2 linked regions of the Anolis sagrei genome follow. The protein of the gene in region 2 purifies or fractionates together with the protein of the main gene of each other region. This does not show direct contact. Links are inferred from orthologs where the notes say so. Each region holds a gene or a part of one and is shown on either strand. Other genes may lie near its edges. The genes, in order: MED24 and CDK19.

Evidence for each region.
Region 1: the proteins of CDK19 (region 2) and MED24 purify together in Homo sapiens (affinity purification with mass spectrometry; 6 studies listed by BioGRID and IntAct, counting the BioPlex papers as one, with this or other methods). This does not show direct contact. The link is inferred for Anolis sagrei from reciprocal best matches to the Homo sapiens genes CDK19 and MED24.

The regions. Positions count from the first base shown.
Region 1 is NC_090026.1:40,875,155-40,887,070, forward strand, and holds the start of MED24 (mediator of RNA polymerase II transcription subunit 24), read left to right. Parts: upstream 1-6,312; 5' UTR 6,313-6,384; intron 6,385-11,916. UniProt on the Homo sapiens protein: Component of the Mediator complex, a coactivator involved in the regulated transcription of nearly all RNA polymerase II-dependent genes.
Region 2 is NC_090021.1:93,108,652-93,120,356, forward strand, and holds the start of CDK19 (cyclin-dependent kinase 19), read left to right. Parts: upstream 1-6,898; 5' UTR 6,899-7,179; coding exon 7,180-7,307; intron 7,308-11,705.

The sequences.
Region 1 (11,916 bases), on a different chromosome or scaffold from region 2:
ATCTCCACCTCCTCACTTTCATTTTCATGTTGCTGCTTGATTTTTCCAGGCAGATGGCGAACACTGCAGAGTCCTCCACTAGAAACAGACCAGCACATGACAGAGATGGATGCTGGAATAGTCAGAGACGTGAGAACCACAGACAGACAGAATGTGACTTTCTGGAAAGGCACGGAAGATGAGATTGAAAGAAAATGTTATCAAATTCCTTGATGGGAAAAGCAGGCTTTTTATCCAGTGAAACGGTGTCCGTCTTTAATATCCTTACTGGTGAAATATAGCTGTGCTTCATATTAAACAGAGCCCAAATGCTGCTTTTATGCAGGAGATGCTGGTGGCAGGAAGCTAAGGAAAGACAGAATGGGTTTTCTAACCTTCCCTTTCATGCTGTAAGATAGCCTGCTGCCCTTAGGTCATATTCCAGGCCATAGAAAGTACTGAAGCATGTGTTGTCAAAGGCACTGGATGCGATAGAGATGCTCTGTCTCTGACCTGTGGCAGTAGTGGGGTGGAGTCCAACCACACAAGCTGGTTTGGCACTGCTAGGCTGTCTTGTTTTTATTGCCACAGCAGACAGCGATAGAGGGAAGCTGCCCAGTGATAACTAAGAGATCTCCATCCATCTGTTGTGGCAATGGCCGCATCCATCTGTTGTGGCGTGACCGCATCTCCATCTACGAACCCACACGCTCACTCCGGTCATCTGGAGAGGCCCTGCTCGTGATCCCACCTACGTCGCAAGCGCGCTTGGTGGGGACACGGGACAGGGCCTTCTCTGTGGCGGCCCCCCGACTTTGGATTGCCCTTCCAAAAGAGCTTCGTCAGGCCCCTACTCTAGCAGTTTTCAGAAGGAACCTAAAAACTTGGCTGTTCCGTTGTGCCTTCGCAGATTAGGAATCCCCATCCCAAGTCCTAGATGCACTTTAGCACAACTATTGTTGCTGCACACCGCACTTTTAATCTTACGTTCCTCCTGCCATCTCAGCACTTTTAACCCTGTACCCCATTGCGCTGGCCGAACCAGTTTTAATAGTGTCTTGATGTATTGTCATTGTGGTTATTTTGCTTAATTGTTTTGATTTGCTTTGTTTATTGTTGTGTTATGTTTTCTATTGTATTGTATTTGAGGCTTCGGCCCGTGTAAGCCGCATCGAGTCCTTCGGGAGATGCTAGCGGGGTACAAATAAAGTTAATAATAATAATAATAATAATAATGGCAATCATGTGTCCCCAATCCATCCTCTTTTCCTTGCACCACTAAGTGCAGGGAAAAGGGAATAGCGGCCGTGGCTCATGTGGACAGTGAACTGGTTTGGATTGCAGCCTGTTGTACTGTCTACATACACCCTTAAGTACAGGGCTGCTCTAAACTATGCCATTTTGTCTTTTTCCCATTTGTTGACTTTGTTTAGTGCTGGGTTAAACTGGGTTTGCCCAATTTACCCAGCATTTAAGTCGCTTCTGGTTGAAGCGACTTAAATGCTGGGTAAATTGGGCTAACCCAGATTTAAATCAAGAAATAGTTTCCTAAGATCTACAGAGACACTCGCTGGAACACCCCAGCAAGCGAGAGTCCAAAAGTGGCAGACTCAAACCCAGAGCCTCAATCAATGGCTGATACCAAATGAGAGACTCCCCCCTGGGCACACAGAAAACTGGGTGACTTGGAAGGCGCTGAACAGACTGTGCTCTGGCATTACGAGATGCAGAGCCAACCTTAGGAAATGGTGCTACAAAGTGGAATCCACAACATGCGAGTGTGGAGAAGAGCAAACTACAGACCACCTACTGCAATGCAACCTGAGCCCTGCCACATGCACAATGGAGGACCTCCTTGCGGCAACACCAGAAGCACTCCAAGTGGCCAGCTACTGGTCAAAGGACATTTAGTCAACTACCAAGCTTGCAAACTTTTTGTATGTTTGTTTGTTATGTTAAAAATGTAATGCAACTGTTCGGTTGCCTGACACGATAAATAAATACCCAGCATTAAGGATCGGAAATCCCTAGATAATGTGGGACAGCCTTGGTTTCTGTCCTGATGGTAGCTTCTTATCCTGAGTACAAGTTATGCAACATCCAGTTATTTAAAATTAACCCCAGATTTTTCATCATCTACGCAATCGAAGTCTTTGCTATAATCTATAAATCAGAGGCTTTTCCTGAAATTCGTTTGTGTGTTTCATTATCTCGCATAGGCATGCAATGTGATCCTTAGTACCTCTTCCTTTCCTGAACACCCAGCTTGGACTTCTGGGATTTCTTGCTTAATTTCTGGTAAAAGCTTGTGTTGAATAATTTTATTTCGCTTACATGAGAAATTAATGCAAAGGTCCTACAGTTATGGTACTCACCAGTGTCTCCTTTCTTGGAAATTGAAATGAACATTGAATATTTCCAATCTGTGAGCCATTGCTTTGTTTTTCATATTTGTTGTCAGATTTTTGTCAGCATGATTATATATTCTTTCTCTTAGCTAGTATATTTATTTATTATTTATTTATTTGGGGTTCTTTTACCCCGCCCTTCTCACCCCGAAGGGGACCCAGGGCGGCTTACACAGTAAGGCAACAAATAGATGCCAATATCACAACAATCATCACAACAATCATCACACTTACAGTAAAATTTCACAGTTAATAACGGCTTCATGCATTATTCCAGTAAAAATTTATTATTTCTCTTAGTCTGAAGCAGGTCTCTGGGGATATAATTTGGTCCTGGTGATTAATTTCTTCCAATACCCCTTTCAAACAGCTATATAAAATCCACATTGAACTGAATTATCTGACAGCGTGGACTAAGATAATCCAGTTCAAAGCAGATATTGTGGATTATCTTCCTTGATATTTTGGGGGTCGTTCCACACAGCCCGATATCCCAGCATATCAAGGCAGAAAATTTCACAATATCTGCTTTGAACTGGGTTATCAGAGTCCACACTTAGATAATGTGGGATTTTCTGCCTTGGTATTCTGGGTTATAGGACTGTGTGGAAAGGCCCTGGATTATATGGCTGTGTGGAAGGGCCCAAAGTGTCTTGAGTGTAGCTTCAATTCTTCTTTCTAAAAGTATAAGGTCAAATACAAAATGTTCTTCATTGAATAAATCTGCCATCCTTTCATCTCTTTTATATAATCCAGCAGTATATTGTCTCCATTATCTTTTCATTTTTTCTTGGTCATATAATGCGTTCCCCTTCTGGTTATAGAGCACCCCTAATCTTGGTTTAAATTTCCCTTTAACTCTTAGATCTTGTAGAATAGGTCTCATGGGCTTCCTGTTTTGTTTTTACCTTTTATTTATTTGCATTGATTATGATAGTAGTTCTCCTTGTCTTTGTACACAAGTAATTTAACAGTTACATTCATGGTTTTGACTCTATTACTTGTTGCCTTTTACTTTGCTCCATGTTTGTCCTTAACTGCTTGAAGAGTTACATATATCCATTGATAAAGAGTTGTGTTAAGGCTTCTCTTTTTTCTTTTTGGATTCAGATATTATTTCTCTCCCCCCACCTTCCTCTTCGTCTTTTCCACTCTGGATTCAGTCCAGAGTTCTTCTGGCTCCTAGTCAAATAGGCTTAGTTGTACAAAATCTATTTTTACATTATCTTTAAATTCTGTGATTATGTTCTTTAGGTTGTATTATGCCATATCAGTTGGTTTAAGTGTTCTTCCTTAACTTTAACTCTTATTTTTTTAGAAGCCTCTAATAAACTCTTCTTTGCAAATATTCCTTTGGAAATTTAATCCACAATATCTGCTTTGAACTGGATTATCAGAGTTCGCATTGCCATATAATCCAGTTCAATGTGGATTTTATACAGCTCTGTGAAAGGGACCTCCATTAACTGGGGGCCCTTCCAGACAGGCCCTATAACCCAGGATCGGATCCCAGGTTTTCTGTTTATCCCAGATTATCTAGTAGTGCAGGCACATATAAGGTGAAGCTGTCCCCTTGACATTAAGTCTAGTTGTGTCCAACTCTGGGGGTGGTGCTCATCTCAATTTCTAAGCCGAATAGACTAGCATGACTGCATGGAGTGCTGTTGCCTTCCTATTGATCTACTCACATTTGCATGTTTTCGAACTGCTAGGTTGGCAGAGCTGGGGCTAACAGGAGGAGCACACTCTGCCCCCTGGATTCGAACCACCAACCTTTCGGTCAGCACGTTCAGCAGCTCAGAGGTTTAACCCACCAGGGGCTCCATGCAGACTCATATAATCCAGTTGAAAGCAGTAAACCTGAGATCAGATCCTGGGATATAGGGCCTGTCTGGAAGGGGCCCGCAACTCAAGCAACTGGCATTTTTTAAAAAAAGAAATAATGTTTTACATTTAAATTATGTATCTTTTATATAAATACATTTTAGTATGTGTATCAGTGGCATTTTTACAATATTTACCTATTCAACTTGTATGCAGAACACATCATGCGATATGTGTGGCTTGATGAATTCAAGGCTGGAGTTAAAATTGCCAGACGAAACATTAACAACCTTAGATATGCAGATGATACCACTTTGATGACTGAAAGCGAGGAGGAGCTGAGGAGCCTTCTAATCAAGTTGAAAGAAAAAAGTGCAAAAGCTGGGTTGCAGTGAAACATCAAAAAACCAAGTTTATGGCAGTCAGTCTGATTGACAACTGGCAAATAGAGGGAGAAAACGTGGAAGGAGTGACAGACTTTGTATTTCTAGGTGCAAAGATTACTGCAGACGCAGACTGCAGCCAGGAAATCAGAAGACATTTACTTCTTCGGAGGGGAGCAACGACCAGTCTCGATAAATTAGTGAAGAGTAGAAACAATACACTGACAACTAAGGTCTGCATAGTTAAAGCAGTGATATTTCCCGTAGTAACCTATGGATGTGAGAGCTGGACCATAAGGAAGACTGAGTGAAAGAAGATAGACGCTGTTGAACTCTGTTGTTGAAGGAAAATTCTGAGAGTGCCTTGGTCTGCGAGAAAATCCAACCAGTCCATAATTCAGGAAATAAAGCCCGACTGCTCATTGGAGGGAAGGATATTAGACGCAAAGATGGAATACTTTGGCCACATCATGAGAAGAAAGGAAAGAGTAGAGAGGACAATGATGCTGGGGAAAAAGGAAGGAAAAAGGAAGAGGGGCCGACCAAGGGCAAGGTGGATGGATGGTATCCTTGAAGTGACTGGATTGACCTTTAAGGAGCTGAGGGTGGCCACGGCTAACAGGGAGCTCTGGCATAGGCTGGTCCACGAGGTCACGAAGAGTCGGAAGCGACGGAATCAACAAAACAATGTGTTCCAATTATTCTGTAACCCGCCTCGAGCCACGAGGTGAGGCGGTAGAAAAATAAAATTATTCTTCCTCTTATTATTATTTACATTTTAAAAGTGTGATACAGTAAAACAGTAAAACTGTGTTACATTACATTTGTTTTTATTTGATTTCAGTGACTGTATTTCAATATCAAGTCAGTACAGAGCTTATGATATGACATAGTATGGGATGTAGTATTAGTTAGGTCAATTTTAATAGTAACTCTCAAGCAAGCAGAAATTATGTTTATTTGACATCTACTAATCCTCATGGGTGCTGATTAACCGAGAGCTCTCTCTCTCTCTCTCTCTCTCTCTATATATATATATATATAAGGTAAAGGTAAAGGTTTTCCCCTGACATTAAGTCCAGTCGTGTCCGACTCTGGGGTGTGGTGCTCATCTCCATTTCTAAGCCGAAGAGCCGGCGTTATCCATAGACATCTCCTAGGTCAAGTGGCTGGCATGACTGCAAGGTGCGCTGTTACCTTACTGTCGGAGCGGTACCTATTGATCTACTCACATTTGCATGTTTTTGAACTAATAGGTTGACAGAAGCTGGGGCTAACAGCGGGAACTCACCCTGCTCCCTGGATTTGAACTTGCGACCTTTCGGTCAACAAGTTGAGCAGCTCAGTGCTTTAACCCACTGCGCCACAGGGTATATATATATATATATATATATATATATATATATATAAAATTGTGTGTGTGTGTGTGTGTATATATTATCTCATTTAAAAGTATTCACATAATAAAGGATAGTTAGTATGGAGTTTGCAGATTTATTTTCTTTATTTATTACTTTAGTTTGTGTGAGTTCATTATAGTAAGCAGACTGTAGCTGTGCTCCTTGGTATTATTATGGCCTTTCTATTATGTTCTTTTTCTCCCTCAAATAGAATAATTCCTTCAAAAACCCCATTACACTCCATTGGATTCAAATAAACTACATCCCCCACCAGCCCTTGCGCCTTAGGGATCGCGCCAGCCAATTAGCGCACGGCTCTTTGCGAAGTGGGAAAATGGCGGAATCCAGGAACTGAGAGGCGTGTGTTTCTTTGTATAGGGAAAGGAATAGGTAAGTGGACCAAAGGAAAACAATGAAGAATCCTCAGTTTTTCTCCACTTTAATAACCAAACCCCCTTTGGTTATTATGTCTGCCCCTTTTACACTGCCAGATAAAATCCAGATTCTCTGTTTTCAACTGGATTATATGGCAGTGTAGACTCGGATAATCCAGTTCAAAGCAGATAATGTGTATTATTTGCTTTGATAATCTGGATTATATGGCAGTGTAGAAGGGGCCTCTTGAGTTTTGTTCACTATATGAGTGACCTGTTTTTAGTCTTGCAAGGAGTTTGTTTTACTAGAATCCACATGGTCTTACGATGTAACTTAAGTTTAATGCAAAATGTAAACTTTGCCAGAGCAGTTCTACATGTCTATTCAAAAACAAGGCATTTTCTATTATTATTATTATTATTATTATTATTAACTTTATTTGTACCCCGCTAGCATCTCCCGAAGGACTCGATGTGGCTTACAAAGGCCAAGGCTTCAAAAAACAACACAACAATACAAAACCTAAAGCAAATTAAAAACAATCAAAGCAATATTAAACAACAAGCAATAAACAATACACCAAGACACAATAAAACTGGGCCGGGCAAGAGTAATGGGTACAGAATTAAAAGTGCTGATGTGACAGGTGATATGTAAGGATTATAGGGTAAGTGCAGTGTGCGGTGTGCAGTAGTCTTAATTCTAATAAAGTGCTTCTGGGACTTGTTATTGGAGTTTTCCTATTCTGGAAAGGCACATCGGAACAGCCAGGTCTTCAAGTTCTTTCTAAAGCCTGCCAATATAGGGACCTGCCTAAGATCTTTGGGGAGGGTGTTCCAGAGTCGGGGGGCCACCACAGAAAAGGCCCAGTCTCACGTCCCCACCAAACGCGCCTGCAACGCAGGCGGAATCACGAGCAGGGCCTCTCCGGATGAACGAAGTGTGCGCGTGGGTTCATAAACGGAGATGCGGTCACACAGGTAGGATGGTCCCAAACCGTTTAGGGCTTTGTAGGTAAGCACCTGCACCTTAAATTGGGCTTTCTAAATATGATTGTATGATATTGCAACCTAACTACCACAGTGAGTTTTATGTGATACTAAATAATGTTTTTCCCCTTTTCTTTCCATACTCTTAATGCAGTTAGTTACTAGTTTAACTGCCTTGGATGAATGCTGTTGAATTCTGGGAATTGTGATTTGGTGAAAGCCCAACACCCTTTAGCAGAGAGGGTGAATGACCTTGTGAAACTACATTTCCCATCATTCCATAACATTTGAGTGGTATCAGACAGCATCAATTCCACGGTGTAGATGTACACTGAGGCTCCTTCTACACAGCTAAATAAAGCCCCCATTTTCTGCTTTGAACTGGAATATAAGGCAGTGTGGACTCAGATAATACTTGTTGTTTATTTATTCAGTTGCTTCTGACTCTTCGTGACCTCATGGACCAGCACTCCAGAGCTCCCTATTGGCTGTGGCCACCCCCAGCTCCTTCAAAGTCAAGCCAGTCACTTCAAGGATACCATCCATCCATCTGGTCCTTAGTTGGCCCATCTTCCTTTCTCCCAGCATCATTTTCCCCAGCATCATTATCTTCTCCAAGCGTTCCTATCTTATTATGTGGCCAAAGTACTTCATCTTTGCCTCTAATATCCTTCTCTCTAACCCAGTTCAAAGCAAATATTTTGGGATTTTCCGCCTTTATATTCTGGGTTATATGGTGGTGTGAAAGGGTCGTGAGTGTCAGCTCTTAGGTCTCCATAGGCTAATATTTTATTTTTTTCTATTTTGTAAGATTCCTTGTAAGCATATGATCCAGATGAAATTAGCTTTCAAGAAACCGGTGGTAGGAGATATGTAGCCTCTCAGCCTACATTTACAGTCTAATCAACTTGATATCACTTTAACTGCTATGGCGCTATGTTATGGGAGTTATAGTCTGGTTGGGGGCACTAGCCCCCTTTGGCAGAGAAGGCTGAAGGCTTTGTGAAACCACAGCATTGAGCCACAGCAGGTAAAATGTTGTCAAAATACATTATTTCTACAGTGGGTACACCCTCTGGTATATATTTTCCCAGGCTCCATGTACACTGCCATATAAAATCCAGATTATCTGCTTTGAACTGGATTATATGGCAGTGTAAATCCAGCTTCAGTTGATTTTTAAAGAGAAGGATCAAAAATGCAAAATGACCTTGTACCTGAAGTATGTATCCATAGGGGTCCTTCTGCACAGCTGTATAACCCAGAATATCAAAGTAGACAATCCACAGTATGTGCTTTGAACTGGATTATCTGAGTCCACACATATAATCCAGTTCAATGTGGATTTTATGCAGTTGTGTGGAAGGGGGCTAGGACTATAAATTAAATTTCCCAACAAAAATAAAAACAAGCTCTCAAGTGGCCCAAATCAATAGGTCTTAGCCTTTGTCAGGGTTAAGACCAATTGATTGAAATTCCCAGAGGAGCTTTCCATCACTCCTGAATGACCACACTTGTGAGCCAAGTGTGGTTCAGTGGCTTGAGCATTGGATTATGACTCTGGAAACTAGGTTTGAATCCCTTCTCGGCCATGGAACCCATTTAATGACCTTGAGCAAGTCATACTCTTTTAGGCCCCTTATATACTGCCATATAAAATCTGCTTTGAACTGGATTATATGGCAATGTAGGCTCATATAATCCAGTTCAAAGCAAATAATGTGGATCATCTGCTTTGATAATCTGGATTATGTGGCAGTGTAGAAGGGGCCTCAGTCTCAGAGGACGGAAAAGGCTAACCTCTTCTGAACAAATTTGGGATCCTTTCTAGTTAGGGTTTAGGCTATGAAATATGCCATTTTTACTGTTATCATGCATATTTGGATTGTTTATTTGAACTTGCTATGATGACCTTTACAAAATGATTCAGAGTGCATCAATCCACCCATAATTTTTAATTTGTTCACCACATTGTGAATCTGTGTACATGTATGTCACACTGGACCAGTGAACTTCACCTGATTTTTGCCTGTTTAACCAGTTTGGAGAGATCTGTTTGGAATTGTTAGTCATTTTGGATTCTTCCATTCTGAACTGGGCTTGGAATGTTTTTTTAAAAAAGAAATTGGTTACAGTTGCTGCTGATGCTACTACTTACTATTGTTTTGCTTTTTAGGTATTTTGTATTCCTATTAACATACATTTTAAAGGACAAGATATATCACCAAATGCTTCGTACAATAGCAGTGTTTTACGAGTAATGAATAAATAGTATTTTTTTAAAAGGAACCATTATTTTCTTTAAAAACAAAACAAAAGAAGCCATGCCTTCAGTACCCCTAGAGGTGACAAGAAATAATGTTATACATTACTTTCAAGCAAACAATTGGGTCTGAATAATTTCGTTACCAGCCTCTTCTTGCTTTTTCAGATCATTTGTGAATATTAACAGCATGGCTTAGGGTGCATCTACACTGTGGAATTGATGAAGTTTGGTATCACTTGAACTGCCATGACTCAGTGCTGTGAAATCACAGGAGTTGTACTTTCATAGGGTCTTGAGCTTTTGTTGCCAAAGGATGCTGGTGCCCCCCCTCCCCCAATTACAAATTCCAGGATTCCACAAACTAATTTTCAATTTGTGTTCAAACAGGGGTCATGGTTTTCCCTCAACTATAGTTTGTTTCAAAGCTATCTGATTTCCTATTGTGGCTTCTACAGCTGATGTGGTTCCCAATAAACCAAGTTTAAGGGAAAATCAAAATAAATTTCTGGAGTTCTCCTAACTGGTCAGAAGGAAGGGCAGAACAAGGTTTCAAGCATAGGTGAAAACAAGCCTAATTCATATCAGTAATGTGGGTTTTCCTGAAAAGTAGAAATGTTTCCAGTGTTCTTAATAAGAATACATTATTTAGCATGTCTCATTGACAAACTTCTAAAGGTTAATGTGGAATTTTTCCCCATTGGAATAGGAGTAATAATGAAACAGATACAGCATATAAGTAGGGCTCCCTTATGCGCTGGACAAATAGCTGAGGTTCCACTTGCTTATGTCCAAAAACATACTCCATCATGATTCTATGGTAGGCGTCTGCTAGAAGTTGACAGTAGTTGCTCTGGAGGACCTAAAAGTCCTAGAGAGGTGTTATCTTGAGGCATTTTTAGGCCCTCCAGTACCATTCTATGGTATGATTCTGCCAGTTTTGTTTCCACCTGAAGTCCAAGAATGTATCCCTCTGGATATGGGAGTTGTACTGCAGTTTGCAATGAAAGTTGCTTGCGGAGTTTACAATGATAAGTGCAATATGTACAAACAGCCAAAGTTTCCAAAACAACACTGCACAGAACCGAAACAGATATATCTTACATCCACAATTGCAGAGATATCACTGCAGCGTTTTCATTTTGAGAAACGTCTGATTTAATTCAACTTCAGTCTTACTAAAGGCTGGATGAGAATCTATGGTCACAGGCAACCTTTTACACTTTGTCTTGACTGTTTGGGATATAGGAAGTTTTGCGAAATAGAAACAAACTTTGCAATGTGTCTAGTTTATTCCTCTAAGCATCAGGCTTGTCAAGACTTGGTTCTGTGGAGGGAGGAATAATTGGAAGTTCATATCCTATAGTTAGCCCATCTAACTTGATTGATTTCAGTACAGCAGCCCAGACAACTATGAATAAATGTATATGTCACTGTGTGTGGAGGAATTGGAAATTTTCCAAGGCAAAGTAAAGCACTGGAAATTTTCCATTTTGCAAAAAATTCCACTCTGCATGATGCAGCATGTCCAACAGATCCAGTTTTCACAAGTTCATTTCTGGTCCTAAGTTACTCAGATCTGACCTATAAATTAGAAAGAATTGGTTTACAAATGTGTTACTCAGTTCTACTTTGTACTAATAAACCCATTAGAAATCACAGGCGTAGTAAACTGTGCTTCTTTCCTAGACTTGAACTATAAACAAGGAATTCAGTTCCTCACTTCCTGTACCACCCATTAATCTTCAAGAAATGATACGCTCCATCATTCAAAAAGGAAGAGCACAGGACCTACTAATCCTAATTGATTAGCTGTTTTAGATTTGCTGTGTGTTTTTGTATGAGTATATGAGATTCAAAGAACTATTTTTTATTTATTTGGGTAGTTAAAAATTCCAAAATAACCGTCCTATGTAAAGAGCATTCTAATGGCAAAGGAATGTATGTCTTCATGCATGCCGTGCTATTATTTATATCAATCCTCATTCAGATTGCAATCTAAGGAGGAAGTCCTGTTAGACACAGTGGGTTTTCTGATTTATCACAGATAGGAATTAGAATCATGTGGCATAAATAGGTAAATGACTCGTAGTAATGGGAGTTTTTACTGAATTACAATTTCTTGCATTCTTTGCCATTGGATGTTCCAGGTAGGGATGATGGGAATTGCAGTTCCACGGCATCTGAAAGGCCATCTTCTTCTCCTGGGATAAGAGAAAATAACCAGCAAAACACAGAATGGTTCCTGCAGAATTGTGACATATTTTGTGAAACTTGAGAAAGTTTTTGTGTTTG
Region 2 (11,705 bases):
TACCCCTTGTGTAAACAGGTTTTTTAATAAACTGTTTATTTTCGTTATGGTACATAACAGAAAAGCAAATCATAACAGATATAGTCAGGTAACAATATTTTTGATGTATACATGCCTATCTACCTTAGTCAATCAACCAGTTAATTTTGACATTGAGTACATATTATTATCAGTTACTGAACTTAAAACCTATAGACTTGCTATTTCTACGTTATCCACTATTTTCAGTCTAAGGTTTCTATTCAATTTTTTTCCATAATGTTCAGAGAACCAACACACAACGTATTACACACAGCAGACCATACAGAGGTAAACAGTTTTTTCAGTTGACAGGTTTTTTGGATGCTGGTCAGCATTCAAAAGTGATCTCTTCCTATTAAATGTACTTTTTAATTATCGCATGGAGCAGTTTGAAGACTCTAGCTCAGTTTCATGTAGAAATCCTCAAACAACAGACATTAGCCTCTATATATAGGCTATTAAGTCAGTACTGCATTATTGGTACTGTATTGAGCCATTTGGAAATTACTTGAGCAGGTTCCTTGTGAAAGCAGGTGAGGTCATTCCAATATACATAGTATGGATAATTTACATGATATTTACATCTATTAAGTTTGCATTTGCATCCCAGATGTTATTTTCAGATATTTCCTGTGTTTGAGCTCAACTATTTTTAAAGACTGATCTCAAGATCACAGAAACATTTATTTGGTTTATCATCAAGTTTAGGAACAAAGACAAACTACATTTGCAAAAAAAGGGCTTTAAAAAGTCAAATGGTTTTCTTCAATGTTGTGGTTTCACCTTTGGTCAATATTGTTTAGCTGTACAGCTATGCCCATCCCTTTTATGTTGTTACAGTCAATACAGGAAACTCTTACCACTATGACATTTTCTCTTTTGACTTCGGAATGCAATTCTATAAATTTCTACTGAGGTCTATGCTTTGCTGAGTTTTGTGAGATTTAATTGCAAGAAAATGTGCATTGGAATTGCAATTACAAACCTCAAAATGCTTATATTTAAAAATAAATATATCCCTTTGAATATAGTATATATAATATTTATACTTCAGCCAAAAGGGCTCCCAGAGCTTCATAGAAATTGTTGATTTTTACAATTTATAATTTTTGATTTATACCCCACCTCTCAAGTTGTTTAACATGAAACTGTTGGGTTTGGAGTTTGGTGCCATCTGTACATACACAGATAACACTCAACTTTATTACTCATTTCCACAAGATGCAAAGGATGCTGTCCTAACCCTGAACTGAGAATGAGCTGAGAATGAGGATGAACAAATTGGAATTGAATCCAGACAAGACAGATGTACTGCTGGTCAGTCATAGGGCTGATCAGGGTATTGGGCTGCAACCTCTGCTGGATGTCATCACTCTCCCCCTGAAGGCATAGGTTCGCAGTCTAGGGAGGAAACCTCCTGGACTCAGAGTTGAACCTGGAGGCCCAGGTGTTGGCGGTGGCTGGAAGGGCCTTCACACAGTTAATAATAATAATAATAATAATAGCATAATAATCCTGACCTCACAATCATGTTAAAAAACAAAGTATGTCTGCTGTGGACTCATAATAATAATAATAATTATTATTATTGTTAATAACACTGGGTGCAGTGCCTAAAGTCCTTGGCCTGCACTTAAACACAATCGGCGCTGACAAAATTACCAGCTGCCAGCTGCAGAAGGCCACTTTACTGGGATCTGCACGCATTATTTGCTGATACATCACACAGTCCTAGACACTTGGGAAGTGTCCGACGTGTGATCCAATTCAACAGCCAGCAGAGTGTCTGCTGTGGACTCATCTTGTTGTGTTTCAAATAATAATAATTTATTTGTATACCGCTCTATCTCCCCAAGGGGACTCAGGGCGGTTTCCAGCATAGGTAAAGCATTGCAATTACTGACATAAAAACATACAGAATAATCATTATAAAACAAAGGCTTCATACTATGTAACAGTCATACATATTTAAAATTAAAAGCCAGTTCAGTACTAATTTCTATTGGGCAAGTTCAGTTACCAATGGCCAGGATTCCAGAGTGGGCCTCGATAACTATGGGAGGGCTGGGCTAGTACAACAAAGTAGACTAGGGCCAGGAGAGTGGATAAAGTGCAAGCATGATCCTGCGTGATGGTCAGGATGGGACCTGGAGCTATTTATTTCCAAGGCCTGCTGCACAGATATGAGAGGGCTGGGCCAATAGGGAAACATAGGGCCGGGGAAGTGGGTAATGTGCAGAACAGGGCTCTAACTAATGGTCATTTCCAGGGCCTGTTGAATAGCTGTAATAGGGCTAATGAGGTAGCAGAGGGCCAGGTATGTGGGTAGAGTGCAGAGTGGGGATCTAACTGATGGCCAGGGTAGGACCTGGGGCTAATCACTTCCAAAAGCCTGCTGGAACCACCAGGTCTTCAGGTCCTTGTGGAAGGAGGCTAGTGATGGATCTTGTGGAAGGAGGCTAGTGACACCCACACCTTGAGAAGCCTGATCTGGCCATGGTAGTACATGCCTTAGTCACATCCATATTAGATTACTGTAACACGCTCTACATGGGGCTGCCCCATAAAAGTGTTTGGAAACAACAAAGGTCAGTGGCCAAGCTGCTTATGGGGGTGGGATATGGGGAAAGAACTCCGCTACTGCAGCTACACATGGTTCGAGCCCAGCCTACTTGAGGGACTGCATCTCTTTTTACCAGCCCACACGGGCCTTGAGATCATCAGGAGAGGCCCTTCTCTCAGTCCCACTGCTGTCACAAGTGCTGTTGATGGGAAAGAGAGAGAGGGCCTTCTCGGTGGTGATCCTGCGGCTCTGGAACTCCCTTCCCAAAGAGGTGCAATTACTGGCCTTTCACTCACAAGTTAAAACCTTTTTGTGGAATCAGGCCTTTTCTGATAACCTATAATAGGCAATGACCAGGCAGCTATTGGTAAGGCACATCACCGAAGGCTATTTTGAACTTGGCGATATTTACATGGCCTAAAAAAGTGGAGCTTCTAGGATCTTATTATAATGTTTTTTAACCTCAATGGCCTGAGGCCCAGGGAATTTTTAATGGTACGTGTTGTATTTATTATGCTTGTTAGATATGGTTTATGTAATGTGTTGTTTATCTGTTAATTTGAGCGGTGATGTTCTGCTTTCTGTGTCATGTAATTTCTGCTATTTTTTAACCATTTTTTGCCACTTCGAATCCCACCCACGGGAGAAAAGTGGGATATAAATCAATCAATCAATCAATCAATCAATCATCCATTTCTTGCCTGGAGGCTTAATACCATGCAACAGACAAGGAAAAGGGGTCAGCAGTGGGGAAGGAGATTAAGTCCAGCAGATACGACCTCCTCTTCTCTCCCTGCAAAGTCCAGCAGTGGCACCTGAAATGGAGGGAGGGCCTCTCATCAGCTACCAGGGTTTGCTTTTGAGTGGACATACATAAGGCTGCACTATACCATATTTTATTCGTGAAAAGTGTTATATAGCTGAAGTAAGGTTTGGAAGATGGTTTATCCACCTGCATTTAAGTAACAAATGCCATTGTGGCACACCAGTCTGTGTTGGGAGAAAAAGACACTTTTCTTGACCCACTTTTCTTAACCAATTCAGCCTTTTGCTCTTGTCATTTGGTCTATGTATACAGTCAGGTTCCAGGCATGTAGCCCCCCCCCCCCCCCAAATTCTGATGGTGGTCCGCGAGAAGGCCTTACTGGTGCATTATTTAAACTGCTATGTTTATTCATATCATGATCTGATCACTATACTCAATATATCCCATATGTATGGGGGTATTGGGATAACGATACAAAAGGTTTGCTAAGGTAGACCCTCTTTCACTCAGACTCAGTCCCCCGAACCAAACTCAGCCCCCTCCCCCCCGAAACAAAATCCTGACTACGGGCCTGTCAGGATCCTATATATTAAGGAAAGAATGAATACTATCGTGCCTCTATTACCACCATTTGATGTATGAGGGTTTTTTCACATTTACATTAAATGAAAATGTCTGTTACATTTCTGGAAGGAAAGGGGAAAGCATTGTGGGTCTTGTGCTTGATAACTGACACTAGTATTACATTGAGAGATTTCCATATAATGCAGATGTTATGTGTTGTTGTTGTGTCTTTAAGTTCTTTCTTACTTATGGCAGCCTTAAAGTAAACCTATCATGGAGTTTGTCTCCCCAAGGCTGAGAATGTGTGATTTGCCAAGGTCACCCAGTGGGTTTCCATAACTAAGAGGGCATTCATTTGAACCCTGGTCTCCAGTCATAGTCCAATGCTTCATCAGATTGCCTCTTATGATGTCTTGATTCATTTCTTAATGCCTTGAGAGTGACAAAGCTGAGCAGAAACTCCCAGAAAGAGATGGGGGCAAACCAGCAGAGACAATAATTATTTATCTAGGTTGATTTGGAAGTCAACAGGTTTCTCATTCAGGACACCCCCAGCATTACCCTAACATGTTTGTCCTTATGGGAAGAAAGAGAGGCCACTCTGGTGGTTTATTGCCCTCACATTGGCACCAATTTATGGTAAGAGTATGAATGAGAGGCTTGCAAGACGCCCTTCCATCACAAGCCCTGCTCGAGTCCACAGACTCAAGGCTGTGGCTTGCTTGACTGAGACAATCCATTTGTAATGTGGTTTTCCCTCTCCCCCCATTGCCTTCTATTTTAACAAGCATTATTGTGTTTTCTAGTGAGCCATGTCTTCTTGTGACATGGCCAGTCACAATTTAGTCATCATGGAAGGGTTCAGGCTTGCCTAGAGCAATAAAAGATAAAGGTAAAGGTTTCCCCTTGACCTTAAATCTAGTTGTGTCTGACTCTGGGAGGTGATGGACATCTCAATTTCAATTGTCCGTAGACACCTCCAAGGTCATGTGGCCAATGTGACTTCATGGAGCGCCGTTACATGGAGCGTCCTAGAGCAATAGGACCCATTTATTAGTCTTTTTCGTAGTCCATCGTATCCGCAGGACACTTCTCCAGCAACACATTTCAGATGACTTCATTTTCTTTCTATGAGCTTTATTCACTGATTGGACTGCAAGGTTGGCAGAAGCTGGGCATAACAGTGGGAGCTCACACCACTCCCCGGATACGAACCACCAACATTTCGGTCAGCAAGTTCAGCAGCTCAGCAGCTCAGTTTAATCCGCTACGCCAGGGGTTCTCAACCTATAACTCCCAAATGTCAAGGTCTATTTTTCCCAAACTCCATCTGTGTTCATATTTGGGCATATGGAATATTTGTGCCAAGTTTGGTCCAGATCCATCATTGTTTGAGTCCATGGTAGTCTCTGGATGTAGATGAACTACAACTCTCAAACTCAAGGTCAATGCTCACCAAGCCCTTCTAGTGTTTTCTGTTGGTCATGGGAGTCCTGTATGCCCTGGTTTGCTCAATTCTAATCATGGTATTTGATTATAGGTGAACTATAAATCCCAGCAACCACAACTCCATATCTCTCTCTCTCTATCTATGGCTGGATGGCTCTTTGTCAGGAGGACTTTGATTACATTTTCTTGCCCCGATGAAGGGAGTTGGATTGGATGGCCTTAAGCATTTTCTGATGGTCATGGGGGTTCTGTGTGGGAAGTTTGCCCCAATGCTGTCGTTTGTGGTGTTTAGAATGCTCTTTGTAGGTGAACTGTGAATCCCAGTGACTACAACTCCCAAATGTCAAGGTCTATTTCCCCCCAAACTCCACTAGTGTTCATATCTGGGCGTATTGAGTGCTTGTGCCAAGTTTGGTCCAGATCCATCATTGTTTGAGTCCACAGTGCTCTCTGAATGGAGGTGAACTACAACTCCTCCATTGCCCACCCAATCCTTCCAGTATTTTCTGTTGGTCATGGAGTTCTGTGTGCCAAGTTTGGTTCAATTCCATCGTTGATGGAGTCCAGAATGCTCTTTGATTGTAGGTGAACTATACATCCTAGCAAGTACAACTCCGAAATGACAAAATCATAATTTTTGAGTGATGGTCACTCCTTGTGTTGTGAAATGTTTTGTTGCCAAATTTGGTGTGATTTCGTTCATTGGTTCTTTTGTTTTTGAGGTACTCATTATGCACAGAGCATTTATATATATATAGATTACCTTCAAGTTATGTGTGTTCACGACGTTCGTGCCTAGACACGGGTCCCATCTGCAAGTTATCTAATGTACGTCTATGTAAACACAGATACCTCCAAACGCTGGCTTAGCATAAGGGACGCTCAACCTATCGCGATCACTGAGCAATGTCAAAGCAACCAGCCAATGGGGGGGAGGGGGGCGGGTTCAGGAATGGAGCGGAGGCCACGTGACCAGAGCCATTCTCAGAATGTTTGGGGAGGGGGAAGGGCGGGAAACACGAAGAAGCCTCGTAGCTTTACATCTAAGGAGGGAGGGAGGGAGCCTTTGCCTCTGAAAGCCCCGCCTCTTCCATTGATTGACAAGTAGCTCCGCGCTTCAGTTTCGTCCTCGAAGCGGCCTCAGTGGTCAAGCGCGAGGAGGCGGGACGAGTTTGAGCCAATGGCGACGGGCGAACGAGTGGGAGGCGGGGCCTAAGCTTGAATGACAGCTCAGGAGATAAACAAGCTGCAGCGCGAGGCTCTCCATCAATCCTGCTCGGCGGTTAAAATAATAATTATTATTATCATAATAAAAGCCCGACCCGGGTCTCGCTCCACGTTTCCCCTTCCTCCCTCCGACTCTTCCGTCGCTGCCCCGCAACGTGAAGAGTCAGCAACTTCCCAGCACCCGCTCAGGAATGACTCTGAGGGGGGTGCGCGGCGGCGGCGGCGGCAACGCGCAGGCGCGGGGAAGCCACCGCGCCGCGAGGGCCGCCGGGAATCGTAGTCCCCGTCACCCTCCACCTTCCTCGAGCGCCTGCCAGTTCTGCCTCCTCCGAGCACTACGAATCCCAGGATCCCTTGCGAGCCTGAACAGCTTGGGAAGCCCTGGTTGAAGCGGGCGGCGGAGCGAAGTGTTTCCCCCTTCATAATACACGTACAAAAACAAAAACAATATATATATTTATATACATTTCCAAAAAACCCCAAGGAAATGGTAGCCTTCGCGCTCGCCTAAGCGCCATTCCCTTCTTCCTCCTCGCCCTCCACCTCCTCGTCCTCCTCCTCCCGCGCTTTCCTTCCATGGGTGAGAGACATGGACTACGAGTTCAAATCCAAGCTGGCGGCCGAGCGCGAGCGGGTGGAGGACCTCTTCGAGTACGAGGGCTGCAAAGTCGGGAGGGGCACCTACGGGCACGTCTACAAAGCCCGGCGGAAGGACGGGTAAGGAGCAAGGCGGGCAGGGCAGGGGAGGGGAGGGGGTTACACATCAGGCACGGGCAAACTTGGGCCCTCCTGGTGTTTTGGACTTCAACTCCCACAATTCCTAGCAGCCTCGGGCCCCTTCCTTTCCCCCCTCAGCCGCTTAAGCGGCTGAGGGGGGAAAGGAAAGGGCCCGAGGCTGCTAGGAATTGTGGGAGTTGAAGTCCAAAACACCAGGAGGGCCCAAGTTTGCCCCTGCCTAATGTATATATATCTGTATATCTTTGTGTGTATGGAAGTGAGAAGAATCTCCCACTTGGAAAGGAAATACACTTCTGGAAGAGTTATCATCATGGAGAAAAGGTGTCTCCACTGAAGCTTTCACCCAATTTCTTTCAGAATCCAATTCGACAGGGACAGAAAGTGGGGTGAATAATAATAATAAAACTTTATTTATACCCGGCTACCATCTCCCCAAGGGACTCGGTGTGGCTTACATGAGGCCAAGCCCACAATACAACAATACAATACTGTGCTGTCGCACGCTGGGCCTGTGCATAAGACTGTAGACAGGACATAAATTCTGTGTGCCCAGCGGGACGCCGGGGCTGCCTCAGATTAAAGGCCCTTGGATTTCCTTAAAGCAGAGTCTTTAGATTGCTTAAAGGTTCAACAGAGTTCTTTATTAATGAAAACAAACAGGTACTTTAAAGCTTTCTTAACAGTCTATAGGCTCTTTCAATCTTGTCCACAGGGAACAGGCACTATCTTCATGACTGGTATTTTAACTAATGGGGAAATCCTTAACTTCTAATCTGGACAGTCTGTCTTTGCCCCTGCACCCGGTACCAACTGTGTCTGGCTTCCGCAAGCGACCCTTACCAAGCAGAGCTTTGTAGACTTCCAGGGAAAAAGGAGTTCAGGTTTCGGTGATGGCTGGCTGAAGTCCCTCAGCAAAGGAACTGTAGGGCTGTACAACCCCGGCCAAGCTGTGGGCTGTATATCTCCCCGGCCAAGCCGTGGGCTGTATATCTCCCTGGCCAAGCTGTAGAAGACGAAGCTTTCTACAGGAGCTCTTGGTATTATGTCCTGCATGAAAGTCTTCGCTGTGTGGACTGAACCCAAACTGGCTCCTATTCCCCCCAAAACCCAAAAGGGGGTGGGACCAGGGAACCTAACTATAATTGACAGGTGGCTTGCCCTATGATTGCAGCCAAAAGAAGTCACCTATCTACAGAGCCCCTGAAACTCAGGACTGCAACAAACATTCAATGCAAAGCAAACAAAATTGGAGCTCCTGGTACAGCTGTACCTGCACAGGAGTGAACATTTCTGAACAGGAGCACAGACACGAAAACAGGGGTCACCAAACTTTTTAAACATTCAATGCCATTAGACGTACAACACATATAGACAGACACAGAGGCAATTTAACATTCCAGCTCGGGTGTCACCGTCCACTTGTGACACCAAGTCATTGATGGAGTACTTCCTCATTCTTACGCATGCTGCTGGAAGGTTTTATGGTGTCATAAATTAGTTAAATTAGCCTCCCCACATAAAACGGTACCTAAATTTCCTACTCAATAATAATAATAATAATAATAATAATAATAATAATAATAAAACTTCATTTGTACCCCGCTACCATCTCCCCAAGGGACTCGGTGCGACTTACATGAGGCCAAGCCCACAGCACATCAATAAACAAAGGCGACAACAAATAATCAATACAAAACAGTTAAAATAAAATAAAATAAAAACTCAAAACCAAAAAAATACACAATAAGCAATAAGCAATATCAATAACATACAGCATTTAAAAACCAACAGTCTTTTGGGCTGCCTAGGTCAACAGCAAGCTTGACCGTTAATGGTCGGGAGCTCACTCCGACCCAGGCTGGCTTTGAAGTCATGACCTCTCAGTGAGTAGTGATTTAATGCATGAAGTAAAGGAGGATATCTCATGAAAAGAGAACTGAGGCAGTTATTAAGAGTTTAAGGCAGGGGTCCTCAAACTTTTTAAACAGAAGGCCAGGTCACAGTCCCTCAAACTATTGGAGGGCCGGATTATAATTTGAAAAAAGCATGAATTAATTCCTATGCACACTGTACATATCTTATTTGTAGTGCAGAAAACACATAAAAACAATACAATAATTAAAATGAAGAACAATTTAAACAAATATAAACTTATTAGTGTTTCAATAGGATGTGTGGGCCTGCTTTTGGCTCATGAGACAGGATTGTTATTGTTGTTGCTGTGTGCTTTCAAGTCGTTTCAGACTTAGGTTGACCCTGAGCTATTTTTTATTTTATTTATCATGTCAGGAGGAACCAGACAGTTTTATTACATTTTTAACAAAACAAAACAAACAAACAGACAGACAAAACACAAAGTTTGCAAGCTTGGTAGTTGATTAAATGTCCTTTGACCAGTATCTGGCCACTTGGAGTGCCTCTGGTGTTGCCGCAAGAAGGTCCTCCCTTGTGCATGTAGCAGGGCTCAGGTTGCATTGCAGCAGGTGGTCAGTGGTTTGCTCTTCTCCACACTCGCAGGGCTGGGTAAATGACCTTACCTCGGGCCTTAGTTTGAGGATCCCTGCACTAAAACAAATACCACAGAGGTGTCAACCCTTCTCTATGCTATCCAAAGCTTATTTATTTGCCCGGAATTACACTTCAAAAATATACCTGCTCTGACTGACATATAAATTCAACTTAATTATAAACCTACAGAACCCACCTCAGGACAGTAATCCAAATCAAAATCCAATTCTCACAGGGACAGAAAGTGAAGTGAAATCTTCCAAAAAGGGGCACAGGGAGCCAAACAAAAACCATTGAGGTGTTAGCCTTGGAAGTGTATTTCACTTGCCTAGTTTCCAACAGACCCCTCAACTTCTGAGGGTGCCTGCCATAGATGTGGATGAAATGACAGGAGAGAATGCTTCGCAAGCGGACAAGAGTTATTTCTCCCACCCTGGACATTCCACAGATATATAAACCCCACTTGCTTAGTTTCCAACAGACCTCACAACCTCTGAGGATGCCTGCCATAGATGTGGGCAAACGTCCACAGATATATGAACCCCACTTGCCTAGTTTCCCACAGACCTCACAACCTCAGAGGATGCCTGCCATAGATGTGGGTGAAACATCAGGAGAGAATGCTTCTGGAACATGGCTATACAGCCCAGAAAACTCACAGCAACCTTTAGGGTTTTTTTAAATCTAAGTGTGTTTGTGGGTGTAGGTGTCAGCCAGGCTTTGAAAATATATGGCCATTCAAGGCTAATCAAGGTGACTAGTTGCAACATTCACACTTGCCTCAAGCAGACAAGAGTTCTTTCTCCCACCCTGGACATTCCACAGATATATAAACCTCACTTGCCTAGTTTCCAACAGATCTCACAACCTATGAGGATGCCTGCTATAGATGTGGGTGAAACGTCAGGAGAGAATGCTTCTGGAACATAGCCATACAGCTTGGAAATTCACAGCAACCCAGTGATTCCAGCTGGTTTTCAGCTGCCCTGGAGACTAGGATGCTGAACAATGGCTTCAAAAAATAGGAAAGGAGATTCCACCTGAACATTAGGAAGAACTTCCTGACTGTGAGAGCTGTTCAGCAGTGGAAACCTCTGCCTTGGAGTGTGGTGGAGGCTCCTTCTTTGGAGACTTTTTAACAGAGGCTAGGTGGCCATCTGTTGGGAGTGCTCTGAATGTGATTTCCCTGCTTCTTGGCAAAGGGTTGGACTGGCCGGCCCACGTGGTCTCTTCCACCTCTATAATATGATGATTATATGAAAGCTGTTGACAACACTTCTGGAAGAGATATCATCATGGGGAAAAGGTGTCTCCACTGAAGCTTTCTCACTAATCCGTGTTTCCATAGCAAGCCAAATTTTTCAAAATTCTATTCTTACAGGGACAGAAAGTGAGGTGAAATCTTCTGAATAGGGGCATAGACAGCAAAACAAACACCTAAGGGATGTTTACTCTTCCCTATGCTATTCAAAGCTTATTTATATATTTATTTGGCTGGAGTTAAAACTTCAAAAATGTATCTGCTCTGACTGACATACAAATTTTACTTAAGAACAAACTTATCTTGTTTGTAATTTGGGGGCTGCCTGTGTATCATTTTTATCTTTCCTTGCTACTAAAGGCTTGTGAGTTAAACTGAAGTTATCTAGACTGGAATACATCGAATTAGAATTTCTAAATAAATGGTTTCCAACCTATGGTCTATGCACCGCCAATGGGACACGAGAACTAAAATATGGTCCACGGCCTCGCCGTTACTACACCGTTGCAATGAGAGCAACTGATCTCTCAAAATTATTTTATAATGCCAAGGCTTATTAAATATGGTTTTCTGTGGGTGAGCAGATGGCGACTGATGACTGGCATATG